Linked DNA regions of Lytechinus pictus. Each later gene encodes a partner of the first gene's protein in a complex. Links are inferred from orthologs where the notes say so. Each region holds a gene or a part of one and is shown in the gene's direction. Other genes may lie near its edges.

Region 1 (7,789 bases):
TGGGTGCAAAGAAAGAATCAAGGAGGTTACATCAAGAAAAACAAGAGGAATGCCTCTGGCAGTTTTACCTGCATTATGCAATTCATTATAGCAGCAGAGCCAATTTTGAAAACAACTAATATGAATAATTACAAAAAAAAATTATTATTCACAAAAAACACAATTCATATGATAATTAGATTAATTCATTGAACCTAAATGACCTTTGACTGTGATCATGTGACCTAAGACTCATCCAAGACGATCAGTGATATTTACCCTTGTTTCATGAACTACATCCATAAACTAGTATCCCCACATGGTCAACACTCATTGACCCTTAATGACCTTTGACAGTGACCTAAAACTCATGTGAGACAATCGGTGATACTTGACTCTGACATAAGTATGTCCCAGTTTCATGAAATAGATCCAGAAACTTTCAGTTATGGTGGCCAATTCAACATATACCCTGACATTAGGAAGATAATGTTAGTCTGATCTACTAGTAAGTTAGCAACCTAACGTTAAACATCTATCTGAGACTGAGATTACTCGATCTGCTCAAAATACATGCACTCTCACATGCCATGCCATCCAGCACAACTGGTGTCAACAGGTGATTTTAATAACTCACGTTAGTCATGTGCACTGCAGATCACACAAATGTGAGTTTCTAATGTTATGCGACATAGCTGCATGAGACCATGAGCAAAATTTCTACTCAACAAGCTGTAAAAGAGTGGAACGATCTACCTCAAGAAACTGTAAAGGCAATGTCATTGGAAAGTTAAAAAAATGGCTTGACAAATTTTGGTGTGAATGAGAGACCGCTAATTCGAGATGCACATTCAAGTTTAAATTAACCATAGTCATGGAACAGGCTAAATCTAGTAGAAGTAATCAACCACAACATTACAACCAGATATCTACATTTAATCCTATATTCATCTGTATATCCTGATGTGATATCATACATAATTGCATGCACCATTAATGAAAAATCCTACTTGCTAAGTACTATCCAGACGGGGCTATTCTAGCTCAAGCGAAAAAGGAAAAAAAAAAGTTCAAACGTCTGGAGCCACACTGGAAAGTGTCAGCATAAAACAGGCTGATTGGGAAACGGCACGACAGGGCAAACTAAGCCTGCAAGAAAAATGTGATCTGAATTGATTTTCAGCTCGTATTTAAGATCAAGAAGATGTATGAAAAGAGAAATTCTGAGACTTCTGTTGATGCTAAGGACAAGGTAATAGCATCATTAGAAATGAGGATTACGAGATAAATAGCAAACCCTCATTTTTTGTGTGTGTTGAGATTGCAATTTCCCATTGCGTTTACTAAAATTGAATTTCTGTTGGGAACAATTTTACACTGTGATCTGATTTTCAAATTAAAAAGAAATCATACTATCAGAAAGTGTCAAATTTACTATCTGGCACTCTGTGGACAAGTTTTTGGCAGCCATCAAGAATAACAGCTCTCGGCACCCATTTGATTTGGATTTGTGTGTGTCCCATACAGCCTAAGGCAGAAAAAGCTGAAAATCTGTCTGATTTCATTCTTCTTTTTTGTGGTCATAAATTGGAATATTTCATAAAATATCACATTTTTGTTATTCTGAAGGTAATTTCAATTATTCCTCTTCACAACCATAAAGCACATTCCAAATCCAATTTTTTTTTCTCCAGACAAAATTAGTCTCCAAAACAAGTTTGAAGTTCCAGAATTTTAGAAATCTTATAATGATTTAGATTATAGTAAGTTAATTACCATACTGTATGTTTTTGGATCTTATTACCAAACACTTTTCATAATATCCAATCATGTCAAACTTCATCAAACATCCACCATGAACACACAAATAGACTAGATCTAGTCTACAGGACTACAGGTAAATACAGATATAACATTTTTGCCCAGATCAATTTTCTTTTTTACCTTCTGATCGCACCCTGTCCCCTCTTCACATGTGAAATATTTTGGTCACTTAAAAATGGTATTGTATTACCAAGCTAACGTGTGAGTTTTGTGGGAAGAAATGGAAAAAAATAAAATAAACCACTGATCAGCTTTTTTTCACCATGTTTTGTTGTTTTGAGAAAAAATTTGTTTTGGACCTTTTTCATCATCTTTCTTAAACGTAATATTGAAATTACCTTTGAAAAGATGTTGCAAAGTTAAAAGCGTATTGAATTTCTGATGTGTAATAGAGCACGTTTGGTAATACAAGGCTGGTCGACATAGTGAGTGATATTGTCCACCGACCTGGCTTGTATTACCGAACACGCGCATCATACACATCAGAAAGTAATTTCATACGCTCAGAACATTGCAACATCCTTCACATGGTCATAGAAAGATGATAAAATTTAAAAATTTAACCAAAAACTTATTTTCAAAGTCTTTGTATTCTCAAAGTAAGAAAACATTATAAAAATAGCTCATCAGTGATTTTTTCATCTTCTCCCATAGAAAACACATGTTTGGTTACAGGGCCCCATCTTACAAAGAGTTACGATTGATCCAATCAATCACAACTATGGAAAGCCAGCAACGTCAACATCTACATTACATGTTTCTTCAAAATGTTTTCTAGAATATGAGGTAGATCTATATTCATACATTATAGGCCGACAGTACTGTTTTCTTGACAATTCAGTATGCTCCTCTTTGTTTTCAAACTCAAAGGACATAAAATACACAAATAATGAAATAGGTCTACGGTATACCTGTATACCGTAGACCTAGTAGTAAGTATTTCATTATTTGTGTATTTTTATGGTGAAAGAAAAACACTGAAAGTTTGGTGAATTTTATTATGACAATAGACCGAAGTTAGTGACTGTGCTTTATATTTAAAAGTGTTCGGTAATCCGGTACTAGCCTAGGCCCACTCTAGGCGACACCGCAATACTTACCCGTGTTAATAAAGTGGGACTCCGCTCACGCGCGTTTGGGCCTCCCTAGCTTAGAACTAAGCACTAATATCACCTTAAAAACTAAATCTACAAGGTATGTATAATCTATTTACAACTTTAATAATGTTTAATCGGTACTCACCGGTTCTTTTGATGTATTTTCTCAAGAATTCCCACGGATTTGTCTCAAATCTCGCGACAAACCACGTCGCCATAGACAGCTGCATATTCTTTTTTATTTATAAATAAAGCGCCCCTTACGATAGTTGTTAACAACGCGGCCAAATCGTTAGGTTTTTTGCACTGTGTCCAAGGCTTTTTTATTTTGTTTGATTTTTTATTTTTTAATAAATATTTTGTTCAATAGCGATTTTTACGTCAAATATTAAATTTATATCATAAAATATTTTTTAATTGTAGAAAAATACATAATATTATGCAATAATTTATTCTATATATATTTTATAATAAAATTTATAATTGTTGCGGTCTTTAAAAAGGATAGTCGATTGATCAGGTGATGACCACACGTATCACGTGATCTGAAAATCAGCTTCATACCGCTTTGATCGCACTCGACGGTGACCGGACTGACTGCCAAAAAAAGATCGAAAATGACTCAAATGTAAGTTTCCCTTTATTTTATTAAATTCAAATTAGGAATAGGAATATATTTAATGGGCAATCTTTTAATAAATGATAAACAAACGAGGACAAAACTCATATTTTGGGAGTAATATCATACTTGGGTGCAGGAAACAGTACGGTTAGAAGTTCTAACCTGTTTTTAACGCATTGTCGCCTATGAGGTCCATACATGCTAATGTTTGGACCTCATTGGTACTAGGAGTGCCTAGGCCCTATGTATGTATGATTTGTATCAGTAGGGTGTCTGAAGCCACACTGAAAAGTGTCAGCATAAAACAGGCTAATTTAGGGGAAAATATGGCACATTTTTTCAGGGAAGTTCAGGCTACTAGAAAAATGTGATCTGAATTGATTATTAACTTGTGTTTGGCATGTATGGAAAGAGAAAATTCAGGGGCATCTTTTGACAGTAAGGACAAGTTTATATGATCATTTTGAATAAGGATTTAGAGATAAATTGCAAACCCTTATTTTTGTGTGTGTTGAGATTGCCATTTCTCCATGCGTTTTCTATGGGAAAATGAAATTTCTGTTTTGCACAATTTTTTTCACTTTGTCGCAATTTTTCATTGTGATCTGGTTTCCAAATCTTTATGAAAATCATACCATCAGATAGAGCATAAAAAATCCTATTGGACTCTTTATGGACAAGTTTTTGGCATTAATAATAAATTTATAACAGCTCTCGGAAGCTAAAAATTTGGATTTGTGTGTGTCCATTTCTTAACTACACTACACAGTCTATGGCAGAGAAATGCTGAAAATTTACCTAATTTCATTCTTCTTTTTTGCAGCCAATAATTGGATTTTTTTCAAAAATTTTACATTTCTGTCAGTCTGAAGGTCATTTCTCTTCAAATTCACAAAGAAAATGTGATAATTTCTTGAAATAAGAAAAATAATTTTTTTCTCCAGACACCCTACTAGTATCAGAACTATCATGATTATTATACGATCGTAATGATCCACTGCTCCAATCGCGTAGTCACTCACTTTTGAAAAACAAAACAGGTGGAGGATGAACGATGAAATTCAAGAGATGAAAAGAATGCAAAGTTTCCTTGGCCTCGGCTCGGGAAACTGGTAGGATACAGCTCCAAATAAACGAGGGTCATGTCACTAGTCCCGGCACGGCCCCGCGCCCCGGACGTCGCCACTTCGTGTTCAGTCTATCTGCCGCACGCAACCTTGCGCTTGCACGTGTTCGAATGTTCTCCTGCGACAGTAAAATTTCTTTTATAATTTGTCCACTTGATAACCCAGTAGCTTACATTGCATCACAAATTAAGTTTTCATAACTCCGGGAATTGCTTTTGACAGACAAGTCCTGGAAACAAGAAATCATGATCACAATATTAGGAAAAAGATCTGTTGCATCCTGTGTGAGGGTTTGGAGGTCATCATGTGTTGTATCTTTAAATGATCCCAATTTGCGACAAGCTTCCAACGCAGCAGCAGCAGGCAAGTTTCGACTCTGTTTCGTCTTTCAGTTTCAGCTTTGCCTTGGCTTTGGCTTCCCCCGCACCTTCGCGCGACCCAACATATACCGGTAGCCGGTGCGCTTCTCCTCCGTACGGTACGGTACCTGTACGCGCCCCGGCCCCGTAAGCTCGGGCTGCCCCGCGCCGCGCTGGAGCATAGACAGTCGACAGCTAGCTGAGCTGAACCAGCTTACCAGTCTGAAAGAAACAGTGGAACAAGAAGAAGCCATGAACTTCGAACAGCATTAACAGAGATTGAAATTTTCAGTCTAATAAAACTAAAAGTAAAAGCTAAGATTAGCAGATAAGTGGCCCGTAAGTCGTAACACAAAGCTTAGCAAGCCAATGGCAATGCTATGGCAATGATCGTAGTCGTACTCGTACTAGTCACTACTAGAATATTTTTCTACGATTGATTCCATTGTCTACGATGTACATCACTACAGTACATGTACAATCAATCGTGAAAATCAAGCGTATGATTAATCGCTAACCTTTGCTTTGGCTTTGTGTTACAGGCCCCTGAATTGATTGTCCGTGATGCTGATGATATTTGATTATTGAAAAAAAAAAAAAAAATTATTGCATGAACTTGAATTAAAATGAAGTTGAAGTGGTTACTTTTGTTCACGGCAAGAGTTCACGTTTTATTGTGGCCACTGTTGTTGACACTGTGTCTGTGACTGAATGAGTGATAGTGTGAAAAAGAATGCAGAAGACTGAAGAGTAATGAATCCTGAACTGAACAAGGGCAGAGCAGAGAGAGGAGAAGTCCCGGGGCGGGGGGAGGTACTCGACGCGAGACAAAAAACTGGGGCCTTGGAGCGGCTTATTGTTAAAAGGAGGGTCCTCAGAACTACAAATGTTTGTGAAAACGGGGTCTTTGGAACGGGTCGCCTGCGTGTGAGTGCGTATGCATCCCTATGGACTGTGCATGCAGCTAGCCCGGCGACACGGGCGCCAGATGCGCCAGGCAATAGTTGGACAGCGCTCTGCGGCTGCTTTTCTTCACCAAAATTGCGGCTCATTGTAGTAGATCAATGCGGCCGGAACGGCGTAACGGAAAATATGCGAAGCTTTGGAGCGGATTTCTTTCTTTTTTCTCGATAAGAAAATGCTATGCTTTGGAGCGGCTTTCTTTGTTCTTTTTCTCAAGACAAAAATGCTACGCCTTGGAACGGAAATTTGAGTGCAAAAATGGGGGTCCCCTCCACGGTACATACCTAACTATGCATTATATACTGAGTGCCCCCTCCAGGGGAGAAGTCAGATTAAAAATAAGGTCTATGTGATGGTGGTCCCCAAGTCTGCGCACCTAACGATTTTGAGTTCAGATTTAACATGAATTTCTTTTTATTTCACAAAATCTTTCAGTTAATAATGTTCTTAATGAGTAAGTGTACCAAATATCTCGTACAATTTTGAAAGAAATTATAGGAATTTCTTGGAAAAAACGTCGGGCAGTCATTTTCAGATTGAAAAAAAAATGGTACCACATGTCTGCGCACCCATTCACTTTGCACACGATTCGGGTATTTTGATGAGAAAGGCTCCATTTAGAGGCCGTCACATGAAATGCCCCAAATTAATTATTTTCCCACCATTTTGAGTCAGGATTTTTTAATGAATATCTGGCTATGTGTTGTATGTGTAAATTTTGTGTTCGTTGCGTATCTTCTTTCACTAGAATCGCGCAGATACGCGTGTGCGCAGACAAGGGGGACTGCGTAGACTTGGGGGAACTTGCCATATACATTGTACATAACTTCAACTTGTTCAAAGTCATAGATTTTTATAGAGATTAAAAGTGCAACAAAAAAAGAAGACCGGAGTGGAGACGGAGAAATAGAAAAGTACATATCTGAAGAAGCAAATTGATTCAAAAGTTTAATTTGAACCGTCATGAAGCATCAGAAATTCATGACCATTCAAATTACATTTTTAATCAATTTGCTTGTTCAGATATATGTAGACCTCATGAGCATTGCATTGCAATATGATTACTTGTACATTTTGTGTGATCTAAAGCTTGACTAAAACATTTTCCCTTGATGATTTTTATTCACCCTGGGCTTGTGGGGCTTGTGGGGCCTGGGGTAGTGAGTTTGTAGAGCGATCAATACTGTTACATTGTTGATGTAAGATTGTTAGTAATCCTTTGCTACACTCATTCAAGTTTTGATCTTTATTTGTTTTTTATTATCAGATGTGAAAGATGAGAAGAGCCTTGAAGGAAGAGCTCTATATCTGGATGCTCAGTCTACAACACCACTGGTAAGAATGTGACTTCTCAAGCTTTGTATCCAAAATAAGTCCCAAGAATGGATTCTCTGGATAATGTAAAAAAAGATATGGTCATGTAGGATATAAAAATAAAGATATTATAGTCTGTTGAATTAATGCAGGCCTGCAAACTACTTTTTTCCAGGAGCACTCTGTTTTCATTTCTTTAAGATGAAAAATAAATCAGTCCATTAATGTATTAGTGTAGTGGGTTTTTCTTTTCTACACTTGTAATTTCATGGTAAATATGTCTTAATTTTTTAAAAAAGTGAGGGAGACACATTGGACATCGAGCAGAAAAATTTGCTTCTAACGATTGGGACTCCTTTTTTCATTTTCAAATGTTGGCTTGCCTGTAAATGTTGTAAAGAAGTTAGTCATTTAGTATATGTATACATCTGCAAAATGATTTTACCTTTACTGGTTTCGACTGGTATTTTGAAAGAGGTAAAGTTACCTTTTTGTGTATATTTG
Region 2 (7,343 bases), on another chromosome or scaffold:
CGCGACAAAGAATACAGCTTCTCGAAAATATTTGATATTTAATTAACATTACTTCGCCCAATTTTTATTTGTATTTTAGTAATAAAATACGCTCATACTTACAGATTTAATAAGGGAAAACAAATGGATTCTCCAGTATCTGATTTAAATTCATGGCTATCTCTGAACCAAAAAATAAAAATAAAAAGGGGGTGAGAAATCAAAGATATACATGATTTTTGTGTGTTTTTTGTTTTGATTTTATTCTTTAAAATTAAAGAGTTAAGCTTTCAGTATGCAAATATGACTCAAATTTAGATGTCATATTCGCAAAAGCAGGAGGTTTTCGGGGTTTCACATAACTTGATCGACAAATCAATTTTACATGAGTTTATCTTCAAGAAGAGAATAAATTGCAACGCCTTAAAAATGTAGACCATTGTGGCAATAAGACGAAATTGACAAAAAACCGTGATATTATGCTATCAGATAAGACTATCAGAAATTATTCCTGAGAAGTAGATCAATCAACGAATTGCAGACCAATATAAACCGTTTACATTGCTATAGAGAAATTAAAATATTTGTGTTTGAAAAGAGTGTTACAGGCCTACAATGAAACAAGACAACAGCTCAAAATACGATTTAGTTCGTCTTGCATCCAAGATATTTCCAGTGTTGTGTTCGTCTAGGACTATAGGATCAGATCAATAATGCTCTCGCAATTAAAGCTCGAGCTAATTTTTTTTTTTTAATTGACCTGGAAATAAATTATTTTCAGGACTCTTATCGGTTTTCAAGGTTCTTTCCTTACACTCTACTTCTCACAAATTTCGTGTGTTCTCCAATTATTTCACATCATTAACCAGAATAGGAAAACTATGAAAAATGAATTATATGCCAAATGTTGGTAAAATAAACGGGACAAACCGCATTTTGCTTGGTTGCATGCAGGAAGAGGTAACAAAAAGGAATTTTGAAGAAAAAGATATGATATATCAATACAGAGACATGAACATGTTATTCTGTTTGATCCTGATTTTTATTTTCTTTTTCCGTCTATATGTTTGTAACAGTTTCAAAAATGAGTGGTTTCATTCTAAAGCGATCAAGAACATTATGAGAAAAACACTTTCAATTGTCATCAAGCGTAAATACAATAAACATCACTACCACCATCTTGACGTACAATCATCATCATCATCATCATCATTATTATTATTATTATTGTTATTATTATTTTTACTTGTTGTAGTAGTAGTAGTAGTTGTTGTTGTTGTAGTAGTAGTACTACTAGTAGTAGTAGTAATGTTATTAGTATTATTATTGATATGATGATTATTATTATTATCATTATTATTCATCATCATCATTGTCATTCTATTATGATCGTACATGTCATACGCTTCATCATATTGAAATATATTATGATGTTTATCGAATTATTGGGTGATGATAACTTAGGTCATCCCCTCCCACCTACAAATAATTAAGGATATATCTCCCACCCCCCCCCCTCCTCCCCCGGATCGAGACAGTCATATGGTTTTGACCTAAATTGTAACCAGCTAAATATCTTATCCTGTTTGCTTCATATTCAACAAACCAACACATTTATATCACTTGGAATTATTCAAGCGATTCTGTATTCCTATTGCACATATGGCTTACCATACATCATAAATATGTATGAGTAATTATGAATATCATTCCTTGTGATTGATCATCGTTTACAGGCAAACATGCGGATAAAAATCTATTCAGAAAATCAAGACGCAAAAATCTTTAGTCTCATTATCTTCCAATTAATTACCAACCAGGTTACGCATTTATATATAAGCACAGCACCTATGGATTATTAATTAATGTGCAATCTATAACATTGCATCTCTTTACTAACTGCTACAACAAATATCTTTATTTTGGTTGGGATGGTTGAGTGCCCTCTTCGGCGGCATGCCTTAAACTAATGAGTAAGGAAAATAACGAGCCTAGGTAGCCCTAGGTTCCACAGCTTAAATAGTCTGTGAGGAATTTTTCTAGAGGGAACAGGTAGCCCTTGGAGTGACCCATCTTACTTTGATGGGATGCACCACGATTGGCTATCTTCCCGTTCATCCCTCAAATGTCATAGAAAGAAATATCAATCATATAATACCTTGGTCACGTTTGCTCTACGGCCGCCGTAAGGCGAATCGAAAACAGCCGTTAAATATTTTGTGTACCAGCTTCATATAGGTGGTTTGAAAAAATGAATATAACGGGTGCTTTCGACTCGCCGTACGGCTGCCGTAAAGCAAATGTGACCGAGGTATTAGCAGTGTCTCGCATCTCATATTGCCAAGAAAAAATAATAAACTTACAAATTATTTTCGGAATTTAGATTTAAGTTGTAAGTTATTTACTATCATAATTATTTTACAACTAACAATGTCTTGATGAGCCTGAATCTAACTTGTTCTTACGCGCTGATGTTGCAATCTTGCCCATTCGTGCGATTAAATTCAACAATCGTAATAATAAATTTTCTCCCCTTCCTTCAAATTAGATAAGCTAATAAAAAAGCAATAGTTCTTGGATAACATCTATATAATAATGACCGTGCAATATGAAAATCTTACATTAAAGAAAATAACAAGGAAATCATAATATTGTCATTACTATCCCCCAACGCGTGCAAAGATCCCACTGTTGCTACTTTCTTGCCTTTAAAGGGGCCCGATCACCCTGTAGAAAAGTTTGTTGTAAAAATAGCCGGCAGAAAAAATAAATAATCAAACATATTGGTGAAGGTTTGAGAAGAATTTTAACATGGTTAAGTTTTGGATTTGTGACGTCATAAACGAGCAATAGCCCAACGGGTAGCCCAACATGTTATGTAATATAAAATGCATCCAATTTTGTAATGGTCCGTATTTGTGGCCGTGAATATTCCTGGTTTCTTTTTAGGAACGGGTGCGGAATCATTGTCTATTGATATACTGAAGGCACAGAAAAAGAAACATTTTCAATTTTCTGGGAAAATGACATTTCATTGATCAGTTGATTTTGCCATATTGTAGGAAAGCTGCTCGCATATGACGTCACAAATCAAATAATTAAAATTCGAATAACTTGTTTATTCTTTGATCGATTTTTCTCAAACCTCAGGCGGCAATATTAGTTTATTATTTTTTTCTAGGATATTTTCACAATAAACTTTTTGTCAGGGTGAACTTCCCCTTTAATATTATTATAGGGGATGAGGAATACGTATATAGAAGAGACAAAGTGACTACATTAACTACTTGTTAATCATTGTTAATTGATATGTCGTATTAATTGTTTCCAAATGATGACAATTCTATTGCTCTATTATTTTTTCTCTCATTTCTTTTTCTCAATTAGGCCCTACTTGTATTGATTATCTGTGATTTATTGCACAGAATGATAAAAAAACAAGAAAAAAATATAAAGGACCCCCCCAAAAAAAAAAAAAAAAATTGTGTCTATTATCATCATTTACTAGGATACTTGAACGTGAGAATGTAAAGCGATGCCGGCGTATCGAGCTATATTTTCGATAGTAACGTGATTGACTTACATATATTTCACACAATTATATAACATCCGAATGAATATCGTATGAAAAATAAGACATGGCAGCATATTCATCTTTTTAATTAAATAATACGGCGATTTGAAATCAAGGACAGTTCAAAATATGGTGAAATATTAGGGAACCTGCATTAAAAAAAGCAAAGCTTGTCAGGTCTGCAGGATCAAAAAGAAATATGAAGTCTTAATTTGCAATTGATATAATCTGAAACTAATACATAAAGAAATGCCAATATTTACAACTGTAGAGTACGTGTACATGAAAAAGAAGAAATACGTGTTAATTTGCCACTATTTGCAACTATTATGTATAGTGTAATTAGAATCCTTGACAAAAAAATAGAAAAATAGGCATAAATATATATAGGGCCTATTGGAAGTTCTGCCTTACTGTTAATTTTTCTTCGTTGCTTAATTTCTTTATCTATTTCATTAAGTAATTTATGCATTTATTTATTACTTATTCAACTTTTTGTCTCGTTTATTTCTTCGTTCTCATTTAATTATTGATTTATTGTTTATTCATTTAATTCATTCATTCATTTATTCATTCATTAATTCATTCATTCATTCATTCATTCATTTATTTATCTTTTTTTTTTCAATTAATTAATTTATTTATTCATTCATTCATTTTTTATTTGTAGATTCATTTTTTTTCTCTCTGTCTTCATCCAATGTATTACGGTGGATAAAATGGTCTATGATAACATAATATTAAGGGAGGGAGCGAAAGAGTGGAAAAGAGAGAGGGGGGGAGAGAGACTGAGAGGGGAAATCCTTATTTTAATTAATATTTACCCATAGGCCATGTGACGTGACATGTGTCACGTGATAATGATAAACAACTTTACGCAATCCGCTGTTTTCGCTTATTCTGACTGCGACGAATACAAATTTGTGACATCAAAATGCCAATTTCAAGCAATGCACGACTACTTGGGAAGACTTTGCGGCCTCTACTGGCAACAAAGTTAGTTCAACCGGTTCCTGCATCAGCCTCGTATCATAAAAATGTGAGTACATCTTTTTGTGGCGACCAGAAAATTATGAGAAGAATGAGATGAGAAGGCTGCCTACACGGCTACAGTACCACTACCACTGGTACTAGTATCAAAGCCGAGTGAGAGCGCGCGGAGCTGAGTTTGTGTGTAAGGTTGCAGTTGGTAAAACCAGGTGGCAGTTTCCGGTCAAATGTGTAGTTAGTTAGTTGCAGCAAACCATGAGAAAGGGGCTTACGCTTAACAATACTGTAAGGTATAATGTTAAGCCCCTTTCTCATGTCCCTATAAATAGGAACATGTAATACCAATACCATTTTGTAATAATGGAAAAGTTTTAAGTCTGAAATTTTTCCTCAAAATTGGCGCTAATGCAGTTTCGCACCAGCCGATTACCAGCATACCTCATTACCAATACTTGTTCCCAAATGTCATGACAAGTCTGTCAGTCACATTTCCAGGTCAATATACCCACCTTTTTGGACTGAAGTTATGCGACCAAGGCAAAAGATTCGCCTAGCTGCAGCATGCTGGCAGTTCGCCACATGTTCGCATGATTTGGTTGCTAACTTCAGTCCATCAACATTACGGTGCCCGGCGAATCCAAGGCCAAGATCCGTGAAGTGATGTCTGAGGATTCGAACAACGACATTGAGATCAAAGCTGAAATACAGCCGTTCCTGATCGCGATATTTGGAAAAGAGGTAGGTATATATTGACCTCGAAATGTGACTGAGAGACTTGTCATGACATTTGGGGACAAGTAAATTTAGTGGTGATGAGGTATGCTGGTAATCGGCCGGTGCGAAACTGCATTAGCGCCCAATTTCTTACATTTTTTAGTATGTAATCCCCACCCACCGACGGTAGTCATGGTAGTGTGTTAGTGCGAGCCTGCCTGCATGTGTATCACGTCGCCCAATTCGAGGTTAGCTATAGCTATACTAACCAGGCACTACACGTCACAGTCAGTGCCGTGAGTCAGTGACAGTGGATTTTTGAGAAGTCAGTAAACATCACTTCATAACAGAAGTAGATTTAAACATTGAAATTCAATTTAAAGAATAGAAAAGTTGCTTACTTTTTTGGAAAGCTCGAAAGTGGTGTTGCATACTCTTCCACAGAAGTAAAAGGAAGCCCGACATGCCTGATGGTGGCGCTAACGAGCTAAATTAGGGTTGCTAATTTTAAAAGTGCCGCGCTATTAATATTCACAACCTTAATTCAGCTCGTCAGTAGTTTTATAACTGTGTCTAAATTCTTTGTAGACCCTATGTGCAATTCTTATGATTATTTGATAAAATATGGGTAGAGTCTACCAATAAATACAATACCTTTGAAACGTAGTTAAAAGGGGAATGAAACCTTTGGAATAAGTAGGCTTGTGTCGAAACGAAAAAATCAAAGAATAAGAACAAAGAAAGTTTGAGAAAAATCTGACAAATAATTAGAAAGTTATGATCATTTGAATATTGCAATCACTAATGCTATGGAGATCCTCCTATTGGCAATGCAACAAGGATGTGTGATGTCTCATGTGAACAACTTTTTCTTTGATGGACTATAAAATACCCCCAAAATGTCTCCTTTTGCTTTTTGTTATGGTGATACAAACTCTTTATCCATGATGTATTCTTTAAAAATCTGTATTACATGCCCTCCTACAGAAAGAACACATGATCTACTGATAGATGTAATAAAAGAGGCAGTTCAAGTGAAATATATACTAAAGAAATGGGGAGAGTTGTTCACAAGTGACATCACACATCTTTGTCGCATTGCCAATGGGAGGATCTCTATAGCATTAGTGATCGCAATATTCAAATGCTCATAACTTTTTCATTATTTGTCTGATTTTTTCTCAAACTTTCGTTGATCAGTTTCTTTGAGTTTTCTGTTTTCACACAAGCTATCTCGTTCCAAACGTTTCATTCTTTAAATGCAAGGTTACTCTCCAAAGCATCTGCTACTTGCTTGTCAATCACACAGTGCAAGAAATGTGTGCAAGTAGTAATCCATCGTGAAGCTTATCTTAGTCTAACCTGTCTTGATCCAACTGATCTCATCTCCTATTTATCTTTGTATTCTTAGGTGATAGATCACTACGAGAACCCAAGGAATGTTGGAGCAATGGACAAGAATGACAAGAATGTTGGCACAGGGTTGGTTGGTGCACCAGCATGTGGTGACGTCATGAAACTACAGGTAAGCTTTGATTTAGAAAGTTATTCCGTTATGATTCTTGTGACTGACTGTAAAATTAGAATATAAGGTTAAGTAACAATTATGAAAAAATATTGTTCAGCTGTTAATGACAACATCTAGAGATGTCAAGTTCAAAGTATAAAATGAATATCAATAAGTCATTTTGCAAAGCATTTTTCATTCATTCATTCATTTCGGTGTTTTTTGTTTTTTTTTTAAATTTTATTTAAATAGTAAAATCAGTGAGATATCAGGCAGGATTTTCCTAAGAATGTAACCAGTATTTTTCTTTATCTTGAATGCTCACAAGTCTCAATTGACTTTGCATTATCAGCACTGACTTTAAATTGGCAACACCGTGCCAATTTGAGGAACAAAGGCAGATTACTCTCCATACCAAAGTTGTGTACTCACTGGGGTAAAAGAAATAGGTAATTGCTCTGAAATAATCTATAATAAAGAAAAAAAAGATATCTTAATCTCTCTCTCTTTCTTCTTTCTTTGTTTTTCTTACTCTTTCTCTCCCTCTCCCCCTTTACCCTCTCCTCCTTCCCTTGCTTT
Region 3 (7,559 bases), on another chromosome or scaffold:
TTCATTGTTGAAGGCATTACGCATACATATATGCAGCAACACTCTAATCAGAAAGTAACACCAGACTCTAATTTTGGCCCACCCAAGGGTTCATTACATGCCGCCGCGCACAGAAAATTCAAGCCATAGAAGTCGTGAACCCAAGAAGTGAGATCCCAGCACGCGCGACCCACTAGTTAGAAATCCACTGCCAAACGCGGTTCGTGGTTAGTATACTAATACTAACCTCGCAATACGTACTAGTAGTATACTAATACTAACCTCGCAATACGTGTGAGTGATTTTGGCCAGGAATCAGGGTAATCACTGCTGAAAATTTGTCTGGCTTCATGACATCGGCATCATGGTGTGTAATTCTGTGTATAATAAAAACTTAAACATTCCTCTGAAACAGCAGATTTTCAGCCATGGTCCATACCACTCAGTGCTCCTAAATAATTTAATCGCCTGCCTGAGTCCTGACCAGTTTTAGAAATCTGAAGAAAAAATCTGCTGGAATTGTGCCACTCACACGTATTAAGTATACTAACCTCGCACCACGAACCGCGTTTGGCAGTGGATTTCTAACTAGTGGGTTGCGCGTGCTTAGCCTGGAGGCGTCTGGGATCTCACTTCTTGGGTCCACAACACACGACTTCTATGGCTTGATTTTTCTGTGCGTGGCGGCATGTAATGAACCCTTGGGTGGAATTGTGCAAAAACATTATTTCTAAAATAAAAACTTTTTAATTTTGATAGTAGTTATGCCAAAATGCATGATTCTAAACTTATATCAGATCTGTATCTGTCATCTGACCTGAATGCATCGTCAGAACAAGTACAGTTTCCAAACATGCTTACCTTGACTTTTGACTGGATCAAACAGCGTAGCCTGCAACATGCATCGGGAGCAAGTGAATGGGACCGTGCAGCTTGGAGTTTTTCAATAGTTAGTAGAGCAACACAACGAAGACTGTCGAGTGGACAAAATCGATCTTTCCAGTTCACAATTCAATAAAAAACGGGCAAAATAACACAGTTCTGGTTCCCTTATAGTCTGAAGTTGTCGAAAACAGAATTCGGATGTCACATTACATGAAGAAAACGGTAAATTCGGAAGATATTGAAGAGGTCAGTAAGGTGATTCAGTGTATTATGCACAGAGCTAGAGGGATGATGAGCTCGATTATTGTGTGACGTCATTATTCTCGACTGTTTTCACTGCGTGAACTCATCGGTCTGGGGGCGGCTGGGGGGCTTAGAATGGTCTCTAATAATTTCATTTCTTGCATTTCCACGACATCAATAAGACTTTTTAGTGACATATTTGTGTATAAAAAGACAAGACCTTTCCATTCATATATAATTTGTCTATAATCATCACAAATCGTGAATTTTCTTTGGATGTATACTTTAAAGAATTTAACCGATAGAGGTAGAGGGGGAGGGGTGGGGGCTAGGGCTGGACAGTCAGCCTAGGGACGTTTTCCAAGTGTTCAGAAAAAAAGTGAGTAAAATTCCATTACACATTAAGCTCCGTGATTTAGCTCAAAATTCTGCAAATTTTGATGAATTTAAATCTGCTCGATCCGGATCGACATCATTTTAGGGATATTTATGCCTGATGGCCTCAATTGGGCCGCGTCCAGTCAAATCCAATCCATTTTATATAGGCATATTTGGGGGTATTCAAAAATGTATAAATCAATTAAAATAGCTATAATCTCTGTATCAAAATATCTACAGTTGCCTCTCGGTGCTAAAAATTGCCGGGCTGCTGTTTTTTTTTTTTTTTTGCATCGGTTAGAGATTTCAAGTTTCAAAAGATTAGAATTCATTTGAAGATTTAAAGGATCATAATTATTTCAAAACCTAAATGTTTATATTTTTCCAATAATTACTAGTATTTTTTCCCGTAGTAATGTTGCAGAAATCTATCATTTCGACTAATGCTTGTATGATACACAATTATTTTTATTACGAAAAGTGCTTGAACATATTTCGTTTTCAGCTCTTATGATCAAACTAAATTGTTCAGCCCACACTTAATTGCCCTCGCATTGGTTGTATAGGCATTTTGTTCATTAATTTTTATTACAAAAAGTGTTTGAAATGGTTTCGGGTCTGAATGTTATACAAAAATGTTCAGCTTGTATTATTGATTTTGGATAATTATCATTAACAATAATGTTCCTTTTTCAGATCACCGTTGACCCATACAGGCGCGGATCCAGGAGGGGGCCGAGCCGGCCCCGGCCCCCCCTATTTTTTGTCAACCTGCAGAAAAAAAGTATACTCTTTAACTTGATAGAAACTACGAAAAACGGCCGACCCGACCCCGAAAGGAAACAAGAAAAAGGTGAGGGGAAGAATTGAAAAATAGACTTTATATAATAATTTGTGCTCGCGTTTCGCGCTCGCATTGCCTGTGTAATGAATCCCATTCAAGAGGATTAAATGACACTTAATATAACCAGTTCTATAATCAATTTGCACACAATATTTTAGCTCACACATCAAGCTTTCATTATTATGTTTGATTTACACAAATTGTTAATGTATATCAAAATTTTCAGCTCGCGCTGCGCGCTCGCATTGTTTGATTAGTGAGATACCTATCCTCTTTGAAAGTTTTTACCAAAATTTGTCAAAATGCTCCTTTATCATGTAAATATATCAAAAAATTAAGCTCGTGCTTCGCGCTCGCATTTAATTGTTTGAGACACACAGCCTGTTCTTTATTTAAATAAAAAACGCGCTTAGACTGTTCAATTTTCAGGTCGGAATATCAAAAATTTTGAGCTCGCGCTTCGCACTCTCATTATTAAATTGGTGATACTTGTATCCTCTTCATTAATCACTAATCACTAATTGAGTCCCTTTTCACGTTACTATAATAAAATTTCGGCTCGCGCTTCGCGCTCGCATTGTTTAGTTGTTCATGAATATAAAAACTGCTCAGAATCTTCAATTCTAAGGACATCAAATATCAAAGAATTTTCGCTCGCGCCTCGCGCTAGCATTATATATCAAGACCACATGAGATACCTTAACTTGTTTATAACAAAAAAACTAACATATACTAAAAACTTCAGTCTTTAGTTAGGACTACCCCCTGAAAAGCCAACAAAAAATCAGATGATAGCGGCCAATCGAGAAAAATGTTGATGAAAATATTTTTCGGCCCCCCCTATTGGAGAAAGCTGGATCCGCCCCTGCCATAGGCCCGCTGTATAAAAATTTTCAGCTGTTGCTCATCGTATACTTTTTCGTTGTTAAGTCTATAGATCTCAATATTTTTTTTAGCTTGCTCCAATTAAGTTCGCACTTGGCATTTTTAGCGAGATACGAGACGTATCGATCTATTTATGATCAAATATAAAAATAGTGCTCAGATCAGGTTATTCGGGTTTATAATATATCAAAATCAGTCAGTCAGTCCTTGAAATAATCCTCTATATATCTACTGATTATAATTTTGTAAAGCAAATGTTAAAGGTCTCAAGGACTACCCCCTTTGTGACAGATAATTTTTTTCCCGACTCTCCATATTGGCACTCCGATTGGACATTGCTGGATCTGTCCCGCCATCAAGGGTCAGGTCCCGACGATTCTTAAGAGGCGGTGTTGTTTTGAATTTGACAAGCAAGCAAGCATGCAAAAAAAATGAAGGTGATTTTGATCCAAGAAAAATTTAGAAAAACGGGGTAAAATATTAAATGGATCTTTCATTTTCAGATTTTTTTGGTAAATCAAATGCTTGCTCGCGAAACTTAATTTAGATAGTGACACAACATTTGCTCCGGGCCTTATTTTTGTCTAAGATGGAGGGTTATAATTATAGAGCAGGGAGTCTCGGTCTGGTTAGAGTTAGTATAGTATACATGGTAAAATTATGTTAGGTTATTAGGGTAAGGTTTAGGGTAGGTAGGATGTAAGGTTTAGGATAGGATATATAGGCCTAATATAGTGTTAAATCCAGCCGTTGAATTCAGTCATTCGACTGTCGCCGGAGCAAACGGGAACCGTTTTTACAGACCCCCCCCCCCCCCCCGAGGCACCCGGTCATGGCAACTCGGAGTAGAGTGGATGATGATGATGATGCACAGCATTTTTATCAGTAGCGCCATATATCTGTCAAAGATACAAATAAGGCGCATTTTTGAAGGAGCCAGCCAATCTGGGTCCTATATAGTGCATACATTAACCAAAAATGATAAGAATTTTCCCTCCCTATGCATGAACATGATGGCCCTGGGAAGCGATCGAGGATGCACCCCAAGATTCAACTTGGGGTGCTGACTGTACCGTACATGTGTTATTCACCATGTATTAGTAAAAAAATAACTTTTTTTGGGGGGGGTCCAATTTTTCCTAGTACCGAAATCACCATCATTTTGTAGCGATCGACCCCCCTTTTCTTTGCTTGTCAAATTTAAACCAGCACCCCCAATACAAAAATCGTTCCCGTGTGTATGAAATCACTTACATCATTCTTTCACAGATGGTAAGGAGTGCATTAGCAATATACTCCCGCATTTACTTCCCCTGAATCGCCACGCACTGATCAGTGTGTACCGCTTAGAATGAGTTATCACACAAAGTAATCACATTATTTTATTTTGGGTCCAACACATGCAGTCAAGTCGAAAACGGCAATCATTGATGTCTATTGCGTTTACTCTTCGCTGAACGAACGTGAAGCCTCCAGTAGAAATAATTTTACGGATAAATGGCCGCTGCTCAAGTTCATAGGATGAAAATATTGAGCCTGTACAGAGAAATGCTACGGGAAGCCCAGAAATTCACTGGATATAATTACAGGTTAGAGTGGAAATTCCATGCTTTAATAATGCACGTTTTTTATGTATGACATATATATAATATTTAGTCCCATGTACTCGAAACGACGTATGGTAATGATATTCATTATGTAACACCTTTCATTTCATATATTTTTACGAACTACATGTACTCAAAAGTTCAAAACTCACAAAATTTAGATCTAAGTTGATTTCATATTGTAAATTACTGATCACTTGGAAGCATAGGTGCTCTATTATAATATGGTCAATTTATGTAGCAAGAAAGTAGAATAATTATTAATATTATGACATGTTTTTGAAGTATAATTATAAAACTAAAAGTTCACCACTCATCGAATCCGACCAATTTGATTGAAATTCATCTGCAAAAAAAAACAACCATGTTGCCATATAAAAGTAGATTTTTACCCTTGGGCCTGGCCTTATGAATAAACAAAATTTTACTTTGCATTCAAACCAACTTTGCATATGACGTGTAACTTTATTTATTTTTTGCTTTTTATGATGAAAACAGTAACTTTTCCTTCCTCAGCTCAGCCTGAGAGTGAGAGACATGGTAATGGCTGCATTTACCGTTAAAGGCATTATGGATGTACAATGTAATTTGTAATTGTAGAGCATAAGAGCTACATCATACAGTATCTATGCACCTGCAGGTAAATGTTATATAAATCATTGCTATTTACTAAAAACATGATAGACCTTGTTAGGTTTTTATAATGATATTTTAGCTTAATGATGAGGTATTTTCAGGGAACTGATGTAATTTTAAACAAAATTGTTATGATGTCAAATTACTGTGCTCTATAATTTTTGGCATCTATCTATCTATCTATTGATATATCTATTTATGTATTTATCTATCTATCTATCTACATGTATCTATCTAATAATCTATCTATCTCTCTCCCTGTAATCATTGTTCTAATCTGTTTCTTTTTTTTTTCATTTCTTTTTATTGTCAGGACGTATGCAGTGAGGAGGATACGAGATGCCTTTCAAGAACACAAAGCAGAAACAAATCCAGAGCTTATAGAAGGATACATCAAGAAGGCTGAGGATAATTTGAACATTATCAGAAGACAGGTAATATAGACAAACACTGTATTCAGTCCCAGGGGTAGTGCCAGTGTATTTTGATAGGGAGGAGAAGGGGGGAGGGGCAAAGCAACAGGACAACCTAAAGGGGAAGTCTATTTATAGAGTAACATGATGACCCATACATGTACTTGTCATTTTGATACTCTACTTTGTTCTTTTTTTCTTTATTTTTTTCTTTGCAAATCACAATCACAATCAATCAATGTACAATGTACGTCTGGAGGCAAACAAACTAAATTGTGTTACAGAAAGCCATATGATGGATGTTTGGCCCAGAATATATAGATTTTAGTTGTCATAAGGTTAATAAAAAAAACCATATATTCAAAGAAGGGTCTCTGAACATAGACTGACAAATCTTGATACAATCGGATGGAGCTTACTGTACATGTAGTAATAGTAGTAGAAGAAGTAATATTAGTAGCAGTAGTAGTAGAAGCATTAGCAAAAGCAGTAGTTGTAGGAGTAGTGTCAATGTTAACTTGAAGTCAAGTATAATGTTAACTTTCACTTATTCTTAAAGGCCACTATCAGCCAACTTTACAGGGAACCTAAGCTGGTTATTGAAAGTGATTCAGTGAAGACAAGCTAACCAAAGAAAGTGTCAACTTCTGGACAGTTTCCTATGCAAATAACAAGGATGATGTAAGTGACAGTATCTGAGGATTTGGGGAAGCAATATTTTGACTCCCAAATATTACTTGTCTCTTCTGATGAAGAACTTGTTTCCCATTTTAATCAGAGGGAGAGGATACCAGATGAAAGAATGATTGCATCATTGCAGCTATGGAATAGAATGAGATGGAGACAAATATTTCATGAATTTTTAGTTTGAGGTGTGCTTGTTCCTAAGCTCATAATGTGTACATGTGTCATGTGCATGTTACATGTCATCAATTTTTAACATGCTGGCATTTCATTTAAAGTGGGGAGGGTGGGTTCAAAACAAGGTAAATGAATAGATAAAAAATATTCAAAGGATTTTTGATGAACATCAAAATTTTATATGACACCTGTCATCAATAGTGAAAATGAAAAGGTTGTCATTTGACCCAGATGCTTTTTCCCAGATTTGCCATGAGATATGTACTTGTTTATTGTTTAAACTTTGATAGGTGAAAGTGGAATGTATTTTTTAATAATTATCTTTACCCAAGATTCTCCTTTTTTCTGAATATTTCTGGATATGGCTGTATTCAAGCAGCTAAGCATTGGTCTATGGTCATAATAAAGAATTAAGAATCCGTTCAAAACAAAATCATGAAAACAGGCCTGCATGAAAAGCTAGAATTAGTGTGTTTTGGATAATTATTTTGAAGATTCTAGATAGCTAAAATTCACTTGAACAATGGAGATTCAATCCTTCGTGAATGAAGTCATTATATAGCCTGCATCTTTTTCTGGCATGCACTTACATCACTTACATTCATCAGGTTTAAACTATAATTCCTGGTTCAAACTATGGACCTACATGGTCAAATTATGCAGTAGTGTGGCAGTATCAAGACTTGAATGTGGGAGGATCAACATTGATAAATTTCACTGGAACAGTCTCCCACAATCGGTCCCACAATCGGTCACACTGAGTGTGTGTGTTGTATCAGATTTTTGATGTATGACTTTTGCTTCATGATATTAGTTTAAAGGTGCAAG

Evidence for each region. The genes of interacting proteins can lie anywhere in the genome.
Region 2: cysteine desulfurase-like (region 1) and iron-sulfur cluster assembly scaffold protein IscU-like share a complex: the UniProt entries of both Drosophila melanogaster proteins name them as parts of the mitochondrial core iron-sulfur cluster (ISC) assembly complex. The link is inferred for Lytechinus pictus from reciprocal best matches to the Drosophila melanogaster genes Nfs1 and IscU.
Region 3: cysteine desulfurase-like (region 1) and LYR motif-containing protein 4-like share a complex: the UniProt entries of both Drosophila melanogaster proteins name them as parts of the mitochondrial core iron-sulfur cluster (ISC) assembly complex. The link is inferred for Lytechinus pictus from reciprocal best matches to the Drosophila melanogaster genes Nfs1 and bcn92.

The regions. Positions count from the first base shown.
Region 1 is NC_087249.1:5,200,713-5,208,501, reverse strand, and holds the start of cysteine desulfurase-like, read left to right. Parts: upstream 1-4,681; 5' UTR 4,682-4,894; coding exon 4,895-5,012; exon of another isoform or gene 5,013-5,045; intron 5,046-7,238; coding exon 7,239-7,306; intron 7,307-7,789. UniProt on the Drosophila melanogaster protein: Catalyzes the removal of elemental sulfur from cysteine to produce alanine. It supplies the inorganic sulfur for iron-sulfur (Fe-S) clusters.
Region 2 is NC_087248.1:21,450,226-21,457,568, forward strand, and holds the start of iron-sulfur cluster assembly scaffold protein IscU-like, read left to right. Parts: upstream 1-4,263; 5' UTR 4,264-4,487; coding exon 4,488-4,592; intron 4,593-6,668; coding exon 6,669-6,782; intron 6,783-7,343. UniProt on the Drosophila melanogaster protein: Scaffold protein for the de novo synthesis of iron-sulfur (Fe-S) clusters within mitochondria, which is required for maturation of both mitochondrial and cytoplasmic [2Fe-2S] and [4Fe-4S] proteins.
Region 3 is NC_087246.1:65,512,147-65,519,705, forward strand, and holds the start of LYR motif-containing protein 4-like, read left to right. Parts: upstream 1-4,479; 5' UTR 4,480-4,711; coding exon 4,712-4,803; intron 4,804-5,770; coding exon 5,771-5,891; intron 5,892-6,429; coding exon 6,430-6,498; 3' UTR 6,499-7,559. UniProt on the Drosophila melanogaster protein: Stabilizing factor of the core iron-sulfur cluster (ISC) assembly complex that regulates the stability and cysteine desulfurase activity of Nfs1 and participates in the [2Fe-2S] clusters assembly on the scaffolding protein IscU.